2 linked regions of the Oryzias latipes genome follow. The main gene of each other region encodes a partner of the protein of the gene in region 2 in a complex. Links are inferred from orthologs where the notes say so. Each region holds a gene or a part of one and is shown on either strand. Other genes may lie near its edges.

Evidence for each region.
Region 1: stk25 (region 2) and strn share a complex: the UniProt entries of both Homo sapiens proteins name them as parts of the core of STRIPAK complex. The link is inferred for Oryzias latipes from reciprocal best matches to the Homo sapiens genes STK25 and STRN.

Annotation. Positions count from the first base shown.
Region 1 is NC_019873.2:28,014,008-28,021,190, reverse strand, and holds part of strn (striatin), read left to right. Parts: intron 1-955; coding exon 956-1,088; intron 1,089-1,160; coding exon 1,161-1,314; intron 1,315-1,934; coding exon 1,935-2,045; intron 2,046-3,971; coding exon 3,972-4,115; intron 4,116-4,183; coding exon 4,184-4,317; intron 4,318-5,872; coding exon 5,873-6,048; intron 6,049-6,205; coding exon 6,206-6,253; intron 6,254-7,183. UniProt on the Homo sapiens protein: Calmodulin-binding scaffolding protein which is the center of the striatin-interacting phosphatase and kinase (STRIPAK) complexes.
Region 2 is NC_019875.2:5,712,158-5,719,835, forward strand, and holds the start of stk25 (serine/threonine-protein kinase 25), read left to right. Parts: upstream 1-3,091; 5' UTR 3,092-3,952; coding exon 3,953-3,982; intron 3,983-5,557; coding exon 5,558-5,788; intron 5,789-5,901; coding exon 5,902-5,958; intron 5,959-6,081; coding exon 6,082-6,190; intron 6,191-7,295; coding exon 7,296-7,453; intron 7,454-7,600; coding exon 7,601-7,678. Other genes in the region: mitochondrial fission factor homolog A, read right to left, coding at 553-731, 1,469-1,682. UniProt on the Homo sapiens protein: Oxidant stress-activated serine/threonine kinase that may play a role in the response to environmental stress.

The DNA.
Region 1 (7,183 bases), on a different chromosome or scaffold from region 2:
TGATGTAAATGGCGTTTTAACATGTTCTTGTTGCAAATTTCTGATGACGGAGGGCATAGTTAAAGAAAATTTAGCTTAAAATTGCGTTTCTAAATATTTCTTTAACCAAATTGTCGTGCAGCAGAAGCTGATCGTAGAAAATACACTGGGCGGGGCCACAAGCTTCCTGCTCCGCCCATTTCTGATCATCCACCTGCAGACTCATCTGAGCTGGAATCTGGATCTAAACTGTGAAAATGCGTCTACTTCTGCTAAAGCCTTTTACGGTCTCCAGATTTAAAAAACAATAATAGCCTCTTAAAATGTTTATATTAATGAAAAAGAAATGTTAAAGCTCGAATTCTGCAAAGGACTACAAATGTTTTCTTCTTCTTCTGTTTATTTTGTCAGGAGTTACAGCGCCACTTACTGACACTGGATTAACACGTTATTAACGGCTAAAGCGGCTGCAGCAGTCTTTTCTTCTACAAATAACAAACAAAAACCATCAAACAGAGAGAGACTCCACGCCATGCGGCGGTCATTGTATCACGCATCATTGCGATTTTCATCGTTTCCAATGACAACAATAAATGATTATACAGTGTTGCATTTAGGGGACGTTCTTTAATGTTTCAGAGGTGTAATTCAGTTTAAGGAAGCTCTCCGTTGTTTCCAATACCTGCAGTCACGTGTTTTTTATGCAACAGGATTCAACATTTTTCGTGAAAAGATGGTTAAAAATGTACAAACTTATCGTAGTTCAATCAAGACAGCTTTTCTTTTTTGTATTTTCTGCTGGTTGAAATGTTTTTAAAAAGTTTCTAATGGCCATTTGCTGAACCTCCCAGTGATATTTTTGTTCTTCAAATTGGGAATCCTCGTCAGAAAAAATAAAAACTAGCATCTATCTAAAGCTCGATATGGCGAGTCTATGATGGTGGTTTAAATGAAACGATCTGTGGCTCCTTTGCAGGAAATCTGAGCTGTCTGACCCCAGCGCCGTGCTGGAAGTCTTCAATTTTATTGAGAATGCAGAGGATTTGAGCGATGAAGATGAGGAAGAGGACAGCGAGGGAAAGGGAGTTACCAACGTAGAATCCAGGACGGTGAGGAAGCCACTTTCATCTTTGCATCACGCAGTGGGAGTGCTGTTAGAGAACAGGCTGTGTTGCCTCTAGATCATGAGGAAAAAGCCTCCTCCCTCATCGACCAACATGGACACCAGTGAGGACCCCGACACCAACGCCGTGCTGAAGGTCTTCGACTTCCTGTCCAGACCCGATGAGATTGACACTTCTGAGTCCAGAGGCACCGGCGATGGGACGGACTGGGGTGAGTCACAGACTGACCACGAACACAAACTGATAAATCCAAACCCCTTCAGCGAGAAAAGGATTCATTCCAACTCCGGCCGCTGATCTTTTAAATTTGGGAAGTTTTGACTCATAGTTTGTTGACTGCTGGTGAGGTTCCGTCATTCATGTGTCATTCTGTGCTCATAAGTCATGATGTGTCTGTTTAACACGCAGTTTGTGTTCTCTTCCACTGTATGTTCACAAGTCCAGCCTGTGACACCAACATGTTTCCACTCGTCTGTCGTCAGATCGCCCAGATCCCCTCTGAGCTTCGCTGGTCTTTAGCTGGAGTCAAAACAATCAGCTTGATGTCATGCTGGGTTTAATCTTTGACTTTAGCCACAAAAGACAATTTTATCTCAAAAGCTGAAGTCAGACATTCCCCACCATGACACAAACCTCTCTCAAATCCACCTCCTTCTTTCTGCCAGCAGAAAGAAAACACAGAGGAGGGTCAGGAGAGGCCCGTAGCTCCGCCCTCCTCGTTTATGAAATTGATTTGAATCTGAAAGTCTCAGAGCGTTTGCAGCTCTCTGTCTGCAAGGACCAGGGCAGTTTCTCAACAGCCTGTCGGTCTGGTTTTGTCCCCTTGTGTAGAGAAGAACGAGCAAGGCTCCATTTCTGAGGCCTGGGACGTGGCCCCGGGCCTGATAACCCAGCTCAAGGAACAGTACAAAAAGGATCGCAAGGGGAAAAAGGGGGTTAAGAGTAAGTCCTGCTAGGTATTGCTGCCTCCCTGCTTCTTCTCATTCTGCAGAGCCTAAAGCCTTAGTCACAACTGAACCTGCGGGTGGAGACGGGCTTCCTGCGGGCGAAAAATGGTCAAACCTGTACGGGTGGCACCCGTCAATACCTGCTGCAGTCTGGCCGTTAGACAGGAGGAAAATGGACAGAGTGTAGTTTGTGTGGACATCCCATGAACACTTCTGTATCACCCAGTGTGTGCAGCACTTATGCACAATTAGTAAGGAGACTGTACTGGCACCTTGAATGTGCCGTGACGACACTGTAGGACAGCATCACCTGTAGGTTGTAAGTGTGTGTAACTTACATTATTGCCACACATACACACGACAATGGTACGTCCCGTTTTAATGATGCCCCTTGAGGTCCTTGTACGAGCCTCAAGGAAGCTGCAAGATAAAGAAAATTCTACAAAAACTTTGCATTTCTGAGTATTTCTTTAATCAAATCGTTGTGGAAAAAAAAAGCTGTTTGGAAAAGATTTTTGACGGAAAATTTGCTCGCCGGGCCACAAGCTCCCTGCTCTGCTCCATTCTCAGGCGAAGGGTCTATAGATGCATTCGTTTGGGTTGCTCCACGCCAACTTTCCCGCCCACAACTCTGAAACTCTGTCCTAAATATCGACACGGGTTTCTTTTCTTTTTTCATTTTGGCTAAAAACGGTAAAATCCTGATCAAAAGAGCACTGGGAACACTCTGAAACCCGAAAGCCGAAAGCCTCACAGCACCCGTACAGGTCAAGCCCCCCAGTGTGACTAAGGCTTTACTTTCCTGAGAAACCAGCCTCAAATCCAAATTGGAGCATCTTCACTGTTTTCTCTGAGTTTCTTCTGTCGCCGCTCCTCGTTCTGCTTCTCTGTCCTCTTCACATCTCATTCTTCAGACCTCTCCGGTGCCTTCAAAACCTGCATCTGTGCTCAGGATTTCTTTTGCCCTTTGGTTGACCCTGGTGCATGCCTCATTTCAGTCTTTCATCGCCTTATTCTCATCTTCACGTCATCGTGCTAACCGTGAAAGATCAGACCGCCGTGCCACAGTAGCTCTGTGATTGCCGCCGTGGTCCTCATCGGTCGGCTCGGCTCGCGTGGAGAAGTCGTGTAGCCGCTGATGTTCTGCCGCTCGATAGCAAAATCAGAGCTTTTCCTGTGACCCGCATGGATGACTCATTCAGCAGCCCACAGATTTCACATTTCTGACACCCAGTCTCCGCTCTCCTTCTGCAGCGACTGCTCGTGACATCAACACTCACTTTCTCACCTTCCTTCTACGCTGTTTACACAGCCCCCCCCCCCCAAGAGTGTGTGGTTTTTTTTTTTGTGGGTGTTCGGACGACACCATGTAGAGTTTCTGTTCCTGCGATTTTTGTCTGTTGCAGCTCCTCATAATCCATTTCTGCGCCGTGTTCATACCAGCCGTTAACTGCTGTTATTTATTGCTAAAACTGTTGTTAGATTTAAAAAAAAAATAAGCTGGAATTTACAGTTTTGTGTTGCCAATTGCACCTTTGTTTGTTGAGCATCACAAGGAAACTTTCCTAGGTCTCTGCTGGTTGCTTAGCAACAGCTCTGAGCCGGAGGAAAGTGTGTCAAAAGGACAGACTGAGCGGATCGTAGTTTTTGTCTCACGCACTTCTGAAAGGATGGCAGTTAAAACGTACAGATTCAGGTTTAGACTACAGTGATTCTCCACACCAGCGGCTTTAAAGGCAAATGTACCTTTTGAGTAGGTTTCACTGCTTTTCTTCAAACTTTATCTATTTTTCTTTCTTCCCAGTCCTTCCATCTTTTCATCTTTTTTTCTCTCAGCTTGTTTGCACTCTTTTTCTCTCGTCTCCGTTCTCCATCAGTATGTGTTGGTTCTGTTAACCGGTGTAACCCCACCTGTGAACAGGACCCAACCGATCCAAGCTGCAGGACATGCTGGCCAACCTGAGGGACGGCGAGGACATGCCTCACATGCAGCCTCCGTCCGCCCCGCAGCCCCGACCCAGCGTGCCCCGCTTTAACGAACACGAGGGAAACCGGCCGGATGAAGGTGCCTCAGAAAGACCGCCGCCCCCTTTCTGTTTGAACTTTGGTTATAATCAGGTTTCCTCTCCGCAGTGGAGACCCTTGCTTTCCCGCCCACCTCAGGGACGTTTATTATGGGCGCAGACGAAGCTATGAAGAGCGACCTGGGACTCGGGGAGCTGGCCAGCATCACCGTGGCCAACGAGGTCGAGAGTCTGGCATACGATGTGAGTGAACTGTTCCGGTTTTTCCGGCCCGAATCGTTCACAAGTCTGCGTTTAGCGGGTCAACCAGACAACGGAAAATAGCATCTCTTCAGCCATTTTACCCCTATGAAAGTAACAGTCCACCTGGACCTTTTCTTCTTTATTCATCACATAATATTTTAAATTGTTTTTCAAAATAATTTCATCCCTGACACTATTAGATAAATTGTTACAGATCTAAAATGTTCTAGATCTGTAACCTGAGGCTCTGGAGCCACAAGCAGCTCCTTTATTACTCTATCCTGGCAATATAAAAAATTATAGTTTTAGTTTGTTTGTTTTTGCTAACTTTGTTTTATCATTTATGTACACATTTATGACATCACTGAGAGAAGTGATGGTAAAAAGTTCAGTCTGCTGTCAGAGTGGTTTAAGATTCAACATGTTCTTTTCTTCTGCTGCACAACAGAGTCTAGAGAAGTTCTTAAAGATTCTCTAAAAAATAAATTAAAAAAAGCTGTATTCTACACTGATCTCATCACATTTATATTTGATAGTAAGAGGAGAAAAAGGATGACAGTGATTCGCCAAACTCTCTTGCCTTTGTTTAAACCAAAACTGCTGCAGCAAAAGGATCCTATTTGGCACACAGGATGTGTTTTATTTTGAAAGGATGGTGTATATGCCGGTGTCAAAATAAAAAAGGGAATGAATAAATAAAGTTAAAATAAGTTAAAATTCTCAAATTTGAATGGTGTAAAATAACTCTAAACCCCCCCCAAATGAACTGATTTCATAGATGAAGTGATCCGAAGGTTTTGAGTTGAGGCCCTGATAAAACACTGAGTAGTTAGGAATATGTTTATTTCTGTTTATTTGATTCTATTAAAGGCATTTTGATAAGAATGACGGTATCAGACTGTGGAACAAGTGAACAAAACCATGAAGCTCAGAGACGCTAGTCTGTCTGGCGTTTGGCGGCTGTTTGCACTACATCTCCCATGATGCATTGAGTTAAAGTGACAGTGTCTCAGCGCACAATGAGCCTTTCTTTGTTAAACGTCTTGAAACCACAACGAACACATATAAAACTGTTTTTAAATCTTCTAAATTAACTTTTATTACATCTTTTAGAAAAAACAGCTGCAGCTTCCAGCTTTTTCTGCCACAATTGTCACAAAAATGCATGTGAGATCATGGAGGGGCTGTAAATCAATACAGACTGAGTTTTTCCTTTTTTTTTTCTTTTTTCTTTTTTTTTTTGGATGCCGCTAGGTTTTTGTCAAGGATAAAGTGTGCCGTGGCTCAAAAAAGGTTGAAACACTGGTCTAGATGAACCCGCACAAGTAGTTTTGTTTGTGTAATTGATTTTATTTTTGTTCTGCAGCTTCATGAAGTGCAAATATAAAATACATTAACAGCGGTTAAACTCTCATTTTCTGTTGGTGACGGTGTCAGAGTCCTCTTGCTTTTCGTTTTTGTTTTTTTAGTTATAAACATTTGAAAACACAGAGTGGAAGGAAAAATCTGTTTGTTGTCTGACCTGGATGCTGAGCGTCTCCGCTTTGTTTCTCAGATTGGCAACAATAAGGACGCGATGAGGAAGACGTGGAACCCCAAGTTCACCCTGCGGAGTCATTTCGACGGGATCCGGGCGCTGACGTTCCACCCCGTGGAACCCGTCCTCGTCACGGCTTCGGAGGACCACACGCTCAAGATGTGGAACCTGCAGAAGACGGCTCCCGCCAAGAAGTAATGTGTTCCTGCTTGAACGACTGAAAGGAGCATCTCTGCTTTCGTTTGCCGAGCTTTGGTTTAAAAATCTGTGTTTTCCACCTTCGTGCGTGGAAAGCTCTGCCCACGTGAGTGCTGCTGTTTTCTGTCATAGTAATGAATGCTCTGTCTGCAGGAGCACATCTCTGGACGTGGAACCCGTCTACACCTTCAGGGCACACAGGTAAAAAGCTCATTTTAGTATCCAAGTTCTGAATGTAACAAAGAAAAAACAGCAAACAACAGATTAACTACATTTGAGATCATCTAAGTCATTCCAGACCCCCCCCCCCCCCCCCCCCCCCAAAAGGTCAACTATCTAAGCTGTATTTAGATTATAGAATCAATTAACTGTACAAAGTGTGAACGTGGAAAACGGCGGTTTGAGAAACAAAAAGACTAGAACATCTGCTGTAAGATGAGCAGGAACTGCAGCCAAACAGGGCGGAGCTGCGGTTACAAAAAATGAGGATTGTCATCATCACGTTTAAAAAAAAAAAAGGTATCAGAGCCAGAATGACTGAGGAACAGGTGTTTGTTTCCCTATAGACGTCGTTGGCTACTTGGATCCAGCGGGTACTTCCTGTTTGGAATGTCAGGGGGGGCGGAGCCACTCAGTCCGGTTCTCTTATACAGTGAATGGTCATTGTGCAGACGCATTGAGAGAGCTAGCAGCTGGTTGTTGCTCAGCTTGGGCCTGTGGCGTGTTGATGATGGGGTCACTGGGTGGAGTCCAAACCGACGGGAAGGAGAATCTGATCGTTCTCCTCCTGAAATGTATGATATTTTTCTTATTTGTATGGAGACAAAAGGCCTGGGCTGCTTTGAAAAAACAACAAAAAAACAATAACTCGGTCTGAATTGATCCAAGCTTAGAAGCAGATCAACAATCGATCCATAAAAGAAGAGATCGATCTTTTATGCCTTTCTTTCTCCAGTGACCTAACAGCATAACAGGAGTAAAGCCAAAGTAAGCTAGCTTGATGCTAACGTATAATGGAAATTCCCATAGGACGGCTAATGCTAACGCTTGTTTGACCTAAACACACATTGCTGACTAAACAGCTTTATAAACTCACAGGCAGGAATTTAAGGACACTTTTTTTCTTTCAAA
Region 2 (7,678 bases):
CATCTCCTGTGTGGTTCTTCTCTTTATTAAGGAAAAAGTCAGAACCCTGACATTAAGTGTGTAATGATCCCCATCGCGCCAACTAAATTCAAAAGGTCCGTGTGAATAAACGGTCCGTGTGACACAATCAAATCCCTGCGCCGCGCGTATAGTGCGCGTCATAGGAATTTAACGAGGCTTCGAGGCAGAGATTTGCCTCGAGGAATTTTTGTAATCGAGTAACTCTTGTAATCGAGGAATCGTTTCATCCCTTTTTTGAAGGATTGATTTTTCATTTTAATTTTGAGTCAACAAATGCAGCTTCATTTTGAAAATGAAAAAGCATTTCTGGTTTTGACTTTTATTTTTAATTATGCTACACAATCGCTTCCATACGGGACCTCTAACCAAAGCTCGGCTCCACAGAAGGCTGACCTCCTCTAAAGAGAAGCTCTGACTTTAGCAGCAGGTGGAACCGACGGCCGTCTGACATTTCTGTCTGCCGTTTCCACTTGGTGTTGTTTGCAGAAGTTCTGACTGCACACAGCAGGAGCCTCTGTGGGTCTTACTTACCGCGTTACTGGAGTTTCTTTGGGCGTTGGCAGTTTGGTCTGTTTCCAGAGAGTCCAGGGGCTGTTCCGTTAGCGTGAGGACGTTAGGCGGCGCCTTCATGTTCAGGAGGTCTGCAGGGGGAACTGACTGGATCAGATCCAGGTCCCTGGGACGAGGAAACGTCAGGTCTCCATCGTCGCCTGCAGACAAAGTGGAAAAAGAAGGTCATGACCCCTGCTGAGCTCTACAGGCTAGCATGTTGCTCATTCAGCTGCTTCTCATACAGACCCACTGAAAATGTCAACATGTTCTTCTGGAATTTTTCTCATGATGGAGGAGACACATAAAGAACTTAAACCTACACTTCTGAGTACTTCTTTAATGAAATGGTTGTGAATCAGGAGCCCAAGATGAAAAAAAGCCGTTTGAAAAGGAGTTTATTTGTGGTGTGGAAAATACGCTGGGCGGGGCTATTAAGCTCCCAGCTCTGCTCCATTCTGATCATCCTCCTGCAGACCAATAGATCCATGGACGTCTTTGTTTTCCTGGTCTGAACAGGAATCTGGATCTAAACTGTACGGATGGATAGCTACGATGTTCCTGCCATTTGTGTTGCACTGGCACCATTAGTTTGGGGTTGTGAGGGGCTGTAAGCTTGTGGGAGAGACTGTTAACAAAGGGATGATGGGAAGTGAGGCCACGCCTATTCCCCACAAGCAGCCCCGCCCACAACTCAGAGGTGAATTTCGAATGAACTCCTGCCGCTCTGCAGAGACGGTCCTAGAAAGCAACACAGTTTTGGGATTTTTGCTAAAAACGACGTAATGATCAAGAAAAGACCACTAGGAACGTTTGAAAACTGATCAAAAGATGACCGGAGAGGCACTTTAATGACTTCCCAGGTGCGCTTCTCCTGCACAAAAAACTAACGACTCACCTGCAACAACAATTCTCTCAGGAACTTGCATCAAAGTGGAATGAGGCGGCGGCGGCTCCTGAGCTTGCATGCGCCCCGCGGAGCTCTCCGGGCCGACTTTGAGGGTTTCGGGTATCCGCATGCGCTGGCTGATGCCCTCCATGTATTCCAGGTCATAGTGGATGCGGCTTATTTCAGTCACCTCACCAGAGGACATGAAGGTCGGCCCACTCATCCGGCCTGCAAGCATCAAGGAAGAGCACTTGGTGACGTCACTGGAGCAAATAAACCCCCCCCTCATTATTGTGGTTCATTTCCGTCCCTCCCCTCACTTGTGTGTCTCCAGCCACAGGCAGCTTAGGAACTGATGCTGGGATGACGAGATGCTTAGAGCTAAAAGTAGTGGGAGAAAGAAGCAGCAAAGCTGATTTCACTCTTCAGAAAACAAGAAATATTTACTGTTTTTGAAGAAGCTAATTATACATTTTCATCAACAGTGAACCCTTTCTTTAAAAATATTTTGACCATAAGATAGGAAACATTGCTCATAATTTATCACCAAATGTTTGATTTAAAAAATTCGTTTGACAGCATAAAAGGCAGATTAAAACATCTAGATGTGTGATGTTTTCTGGCAATTCAATTTGTTTTCTTTCCTCTAAATAAAAGGAATTTATGTTGAAAAAAAATGTGTGGTTTATTCCATACATTTTAACTGTTACATATGTTTGGATAGTTCTACTTCAGCCAATAATGTCCGGATGTATTTTGTGCAAACTTGTACTTGTCTAGATCTAAAGAGCTCCGGAGGTTTTCCTAAATTCTGACCTGCTGATAACATTCCGTTACGTCTCTTTGAGGCTGATCTAAACCCATTTAAACCTACAGAGCCGCTCTGGCCAAGACACACCGAGCGGGTTCGTTTGATTTTCGTTTACATGGGTCCCGCTCATGCCAAACAAATCCTGATTATTATATCCGCTGTTGAATAAAGATCACCCAAGCGGGTCTAACCTGATGCAGGAGCAGCAAAAAACCCGAAGCGTGCGTGCTCGGACCGAAACGCGGCGCGGGCTAACTGCAGCTGAAGGTGCGTTTGTTAGCGGACACCGGCGGAACCAGGTTACAGGTTATTACGTAAGACAGCCGAGGCTGCTGTCACCGGCACGCGCCTCCAATGTCACTAAAACAAACGGAGAAAAGGCGCCATTTTGAGGTTTAAGCTAACACCCCGCTAATTAATAATAATTAAAAAAAGAACGGTCTGTCTGTGAGGCGCCGGTGGGGCGGTGTTACGTAATCACCGTGAGTTAGCTGGGTATAAACCGGCCTGGCCTCAGCCTGACACGCGTTGAAAGCTTACCGTCCCGGGTTTTAGCACCGCTGCCTCCGGCGCTGCTCCAAACGCTCCGCTCCAGCTACAGCAAACAACCGAAAAAGCCGCAAACGCCGCGAGAGTCGGTGTTGCTGCCAAACGATGTTCGAGTTTGACAACAGGGGCGGAGCTTAACAATCATTGCACGAGAGGCTCCGCAAGCAGGCCGGTCGGTTAAGCAAAACGACCGTACACAAGTTACCCGACATTTATGTAAGAGCTGCACGCGCGCGCTCACCCAGAAACTCCTCTCATCGTTTGATTTGCATGGCGGGTCTTTTTTTCCGCAGTCTTAACTTCCTTTAATGCATGTCGCTTTTTATTAGTCAGTGTTGATTTTTTTTATTTATGATTTGCATTGTTCTGCGTAAATGTATGCCAGAGGAACTGCTGAGGGAAATCCTGAGTTCATGACCGTCTCTCAATTTTGTCTAACTCTCCTTGTCCGCATAACTGCTCCAGCAACACGTTTGCGTCACAGTTTCTGCAACATCCCACTTTTTTATTACAATTTAGATGCTTTTTAATCGGTGCTGTTTTAATAACCGCGAGCTGCACTTTAAAAAGACCTTTATTTTTTAAATAATCTAGCATTGAAACTTAACAGTTTAACAGGAACAAACATGAATTTTTATTAATAATCACTCAACAAAACAAATCTCTTGTGTAAATTGCTGTGTGACAGGGACGCAAAATAAACTACATGTCCCATCATCCTGGCTACTTCCTGATCACTGCGCATGTGCAATCGCTGTGGGCCGTTATTGTGTCCTCCTCAAGCTTCAAATGAACAACAGGCTAAGCCCTCCTAAAAATAAATTAAATATTTATTCCGACGGAGCGGGTTCTTTTCGCCCGGCGTGTCTCGGCGGACATTCATGGAGCGTCTCGGTCTGTAGCTCGTCGTTTCGCCGGGCGGGGTGGTCCTCCGGTGAACTCGAAGGCCAAAAACGGTTTTCGGAGTGACAGCCCCGTTCGAGGCAGCAGGCTGGCTGTTCGTGTAGCTGCTTAGCCTCCTAGCTAGTTTCCCAGACAGCTGCGAGCTGAGGGGTAAAAGCTCGAAGGCCGTCTGAGTGTTGGCAGGGCAGAAGAGCCGGAGCTGGCGCTCTGCCCCCGCGACCGGCAGAACCATGGCACACCTTCGGGACATGCAGAACCAGGTAGGGAGAACCTATCACCTCACTTCCCTTCCTGTCCTAGACCCGAACCCCTCACAGTTGGGCTTTTCAGGAAAACCATGTAGCTCTGGCTCTGCGATCATAAATCACCTGTAATCGTGTTCTAACAGGTGATACAAGTGTAAAGTTCTCAAGTCCATGTTTTTTATAAATCAGTTTTTTATGCGGGATGACATCCCGGTTTGAATGCAGGTGTGTTGTGTAAACGGGCTGTTCCGTCCACCTGTGCACAGACTGTACAGTTCTCCTTCACGTCCGCATGGACTCTTTTTACCTGGACAGCACCTGTTGCCTTTAGCTTTGCAGTAAAGCCTCTTCCTGGAAACCGGAAGTGTCGTCACGCAGATGCAGGTTACTGATCTCATCTCACCTCGTTGATGATGAAGCAGCATGCAGCCCATTAAACGTTTTTACTGGAATAGATCATATAGATCATCCTAGTTGGTTGAACCCATTGTTTTCCTGTTTCACTTTCTTTATTCTAGTATCTTCCACCAGCTTTTGGTGCTTAACCCCAACACATTTTCAGCTATTTTAACCATTCAACTATTCAAATGTTCAGCTTTATCCACCTATCACTTTGGTCCTTAAAATCCTTGAACCTTTCAAGATATTCCAGGATTTCCAGGATCTTCCATTGAAATTCATGGGGAATCCTTGGTGCAGAAGCTCGCTGGTTCGATACCGGCTCTGGCATTTTTTTGAAAAATATATCTTTTGTTATTGTGCTGTTTTTACTTTATTTATGGTCAACTTTGATTATTTCTTTATTTCTTTTGCCAATTATTACCCTTTAATTTTCCTTTTCATTCAGTAATATAGACTCAAGCCTGCGTTTTCTTCTGGAAATGCAGCTCCTTTAGTTATTGGATGAGGCTCCCTGCTACACGCCGTCTCCCCATAAACGCTGCTCTACAGAGACGTCGACCTTGCTTTAAAAAGTTTGTGCATTCACGAGTTGTTGGAAGGTTTGCGGTTTTTCTGACGTCGATGCGTGTTTTTTTCTAAGTCGGACGGGCATTTTTCCGACCATCCCAACACTACATGAACGCAGCATTTCTCTGAGTTTGTCCCTGGGGGGCATCAACCCACTCGTGGAATTAGCATAAAATAAAATAAAAAGTCGCAGTTTTCAAATAAAAACCCCCAAGATATCATGGTTTAAAATATATACATTATTTTTGAATCCTAATTATAGCATGTTTTTGTCCAAATTCCATATTATTTCTCTTGTCTCATGGGGTGGATTACCTTATCCCCGCACTGATCTGCTCCTGGTCCGGCCTTCTGTTTGCTCACCCCTGGTGTAACGTGTGACCTGCGTGTTTTTATAAATACTTTGGGTTCTTTTCCGTGTTCTTGTCCAATTCTCGGTGCTGTCGCAGCAGTTGGCAGTGCTGAGGATCACACGCCTGAAAGCTGGTGTTGGAAAAGAAACGAAATGAACCGTGACGGAGGGAGCAGTGTTGTGTTGCAGGCAGCGTTTCTGTGTCTGCATGCTTGTTTGAAAGGAAGTGCTAACAGCCAGCGGTGCTGCTTCTGTCCACCCTCCACCAGAACACCCACCTGGACCCGGAGGAGTACTTCACCAAGCAGGAGCGCATCGGGAAGGGCTCCTTTGGAGAGGTCTACAAGGGCATCAACAACCGCACTAAGGAGGTGGTGGCCATCAAGATCATTGACCTGGAGGAGGCAGAGGATGAGATAGAGGACATCCAACAAGAGATCACAGTGCTGAGCCAGTGTGACAGTCCTTATGTTACCAAATACTACGGGTCCTACCTCAAGGTGAGAGAAAAGCTGCAACTGCCTGCTGTTTACCTGCAAGCAAGGCTTTTATTTCCCACAGTTGAACTACTGTGTATATCCCCCCCCCCCCCCCACCCCACCCCACCCCCCAGGGGACCAAGCTGTGGATTATCATGGAGTATTTAGGTGGAGGATCTGCTCTGGATCTGGTAAGAAGATTTCCATTTTTATGGAGATTACAAATTACACAAGACGCCGCCTTGCTTACTTTTAGAGCCTGCCGGTTCTCTCGCCCTACTTCTGATGTCTTGGTTTACCCGCCGTCATCGTAGCTCCGCCCAGGACCTCTGGAGGAGACGTACATCGCTACCATACTGCGGGAAATCCTGAAGGGGCTGGAGTATCTGCACTCCGAGAGGAAGATTCACAGAGACATCAAAGGTAAAACGGAAGACCACTTAGAGAATCTTCACCCAGGAAACTTGTCAGGAGGGGAAATGGACTCACCCAATGTGTGTGCTGGTTCTGGATTTGTAACCCATCCATTTTGTCTTTAACTGAGGGTACTTGCTGTTGTAAACGAATATCAAAAACGTTCAAATCCAAAATACAGTTTACGCAGGCACAGCTTGAAATGACATCAACTTCAGACTAAGTACAAATTCAAAAAGTCTCCCAAACATAAAAAAACCCTTAAATGGTACGCTCCAATCGCTTGATACACACACTCAAAACCACACCTACACACAGATCAGAGTCACAAGAACACCAGGATGGATGGATGGATGGATGGATCTTTATTTGTCAAAGTCATACATACAATGAAATTAAAAGTGCCTTCTGGTCAGTGCAACATTCATCCATTAAAAAAAAATGTAAACAACTTACTACTAAAATAATACATAAAACTACATAAAAACCTCTGGCACCACCCCCTCTGACACCGCCCCCTCTGACAGCTCCGCCCTCTGGCACCGCCCCCTCTCGCTGTGCCAGAATGATTGAAAGTTTGAGGGGGAAAAATGGAAGATTTGAAACTCGAATAAAAAAACTTTTAATTATTACCAAATGAAAAATATTCTTTATAAAGTTTGTAGTTCCAGTTTAGAGCTGAAAGCACCAGAAGCGCTTTCAGCTGATGGGAATCATGTCACGACAGCCAATGAGCTTCCTTAACTCAGGTTCAGCAGAAAAGACTGAACGTCTGAATTCAAACTCTAAACGTAAAACGGAAATTAAAGAATAAAAAAAGAAAACAAAAACAACAGCAGCTGTTATGAATAAACAATATTTTTCATTTAGTAACAGTTTAAGCTTTAAAGTTTTGTTTTTTAAATTGAAGGTTCAAAATTAAAAAAAAACATTTCTTTTCAAATGTTCAATATTTTTAGACTTGAATCATGCTTAAGCCTGTTTTGAAGTGTTGACTTTTTGTCTTCCAATTGATGTGACCCTCTAGTTGTGCCTCTTTAGCCGTCCTGACCCGAGGCTGCAGGTCTTTCTAGCTAGTTAGTGGACACGGCAGTGACTGACGTCTGTCTCCTAGCTGCCAACGTGCTCCTGTCAGAGCAAGGCGACGTGAAGCTGGCAGACTTCGGCGTGGCGGGACAGCTGACGGACACGCAGATCAAGAGGAACACGTTTGTGGGCACGCCGTTCTGGATGGCTCCAGAGGTCATCAAGCAGTCGGCCTACGACTTTAAGGTGAGGGAAGTCTGTTCCAGAGCTGAAGAGCGTCTGTGGTGCTGACCTGTCTGGGAGGGGGCGCAGGAATGCTGAGCTTTTGAAACAGCCATTGAATTCATTTCTGTTTGGAAAAGCTTCATTTGGTTCACCTTTCCTTACACTCAGGCGGACATCTGGTCTCTGGGAATCACTGCCATCGAGTTGGCCAAGGGGGAACCCCCCAACTCTGACCTACATCCCATG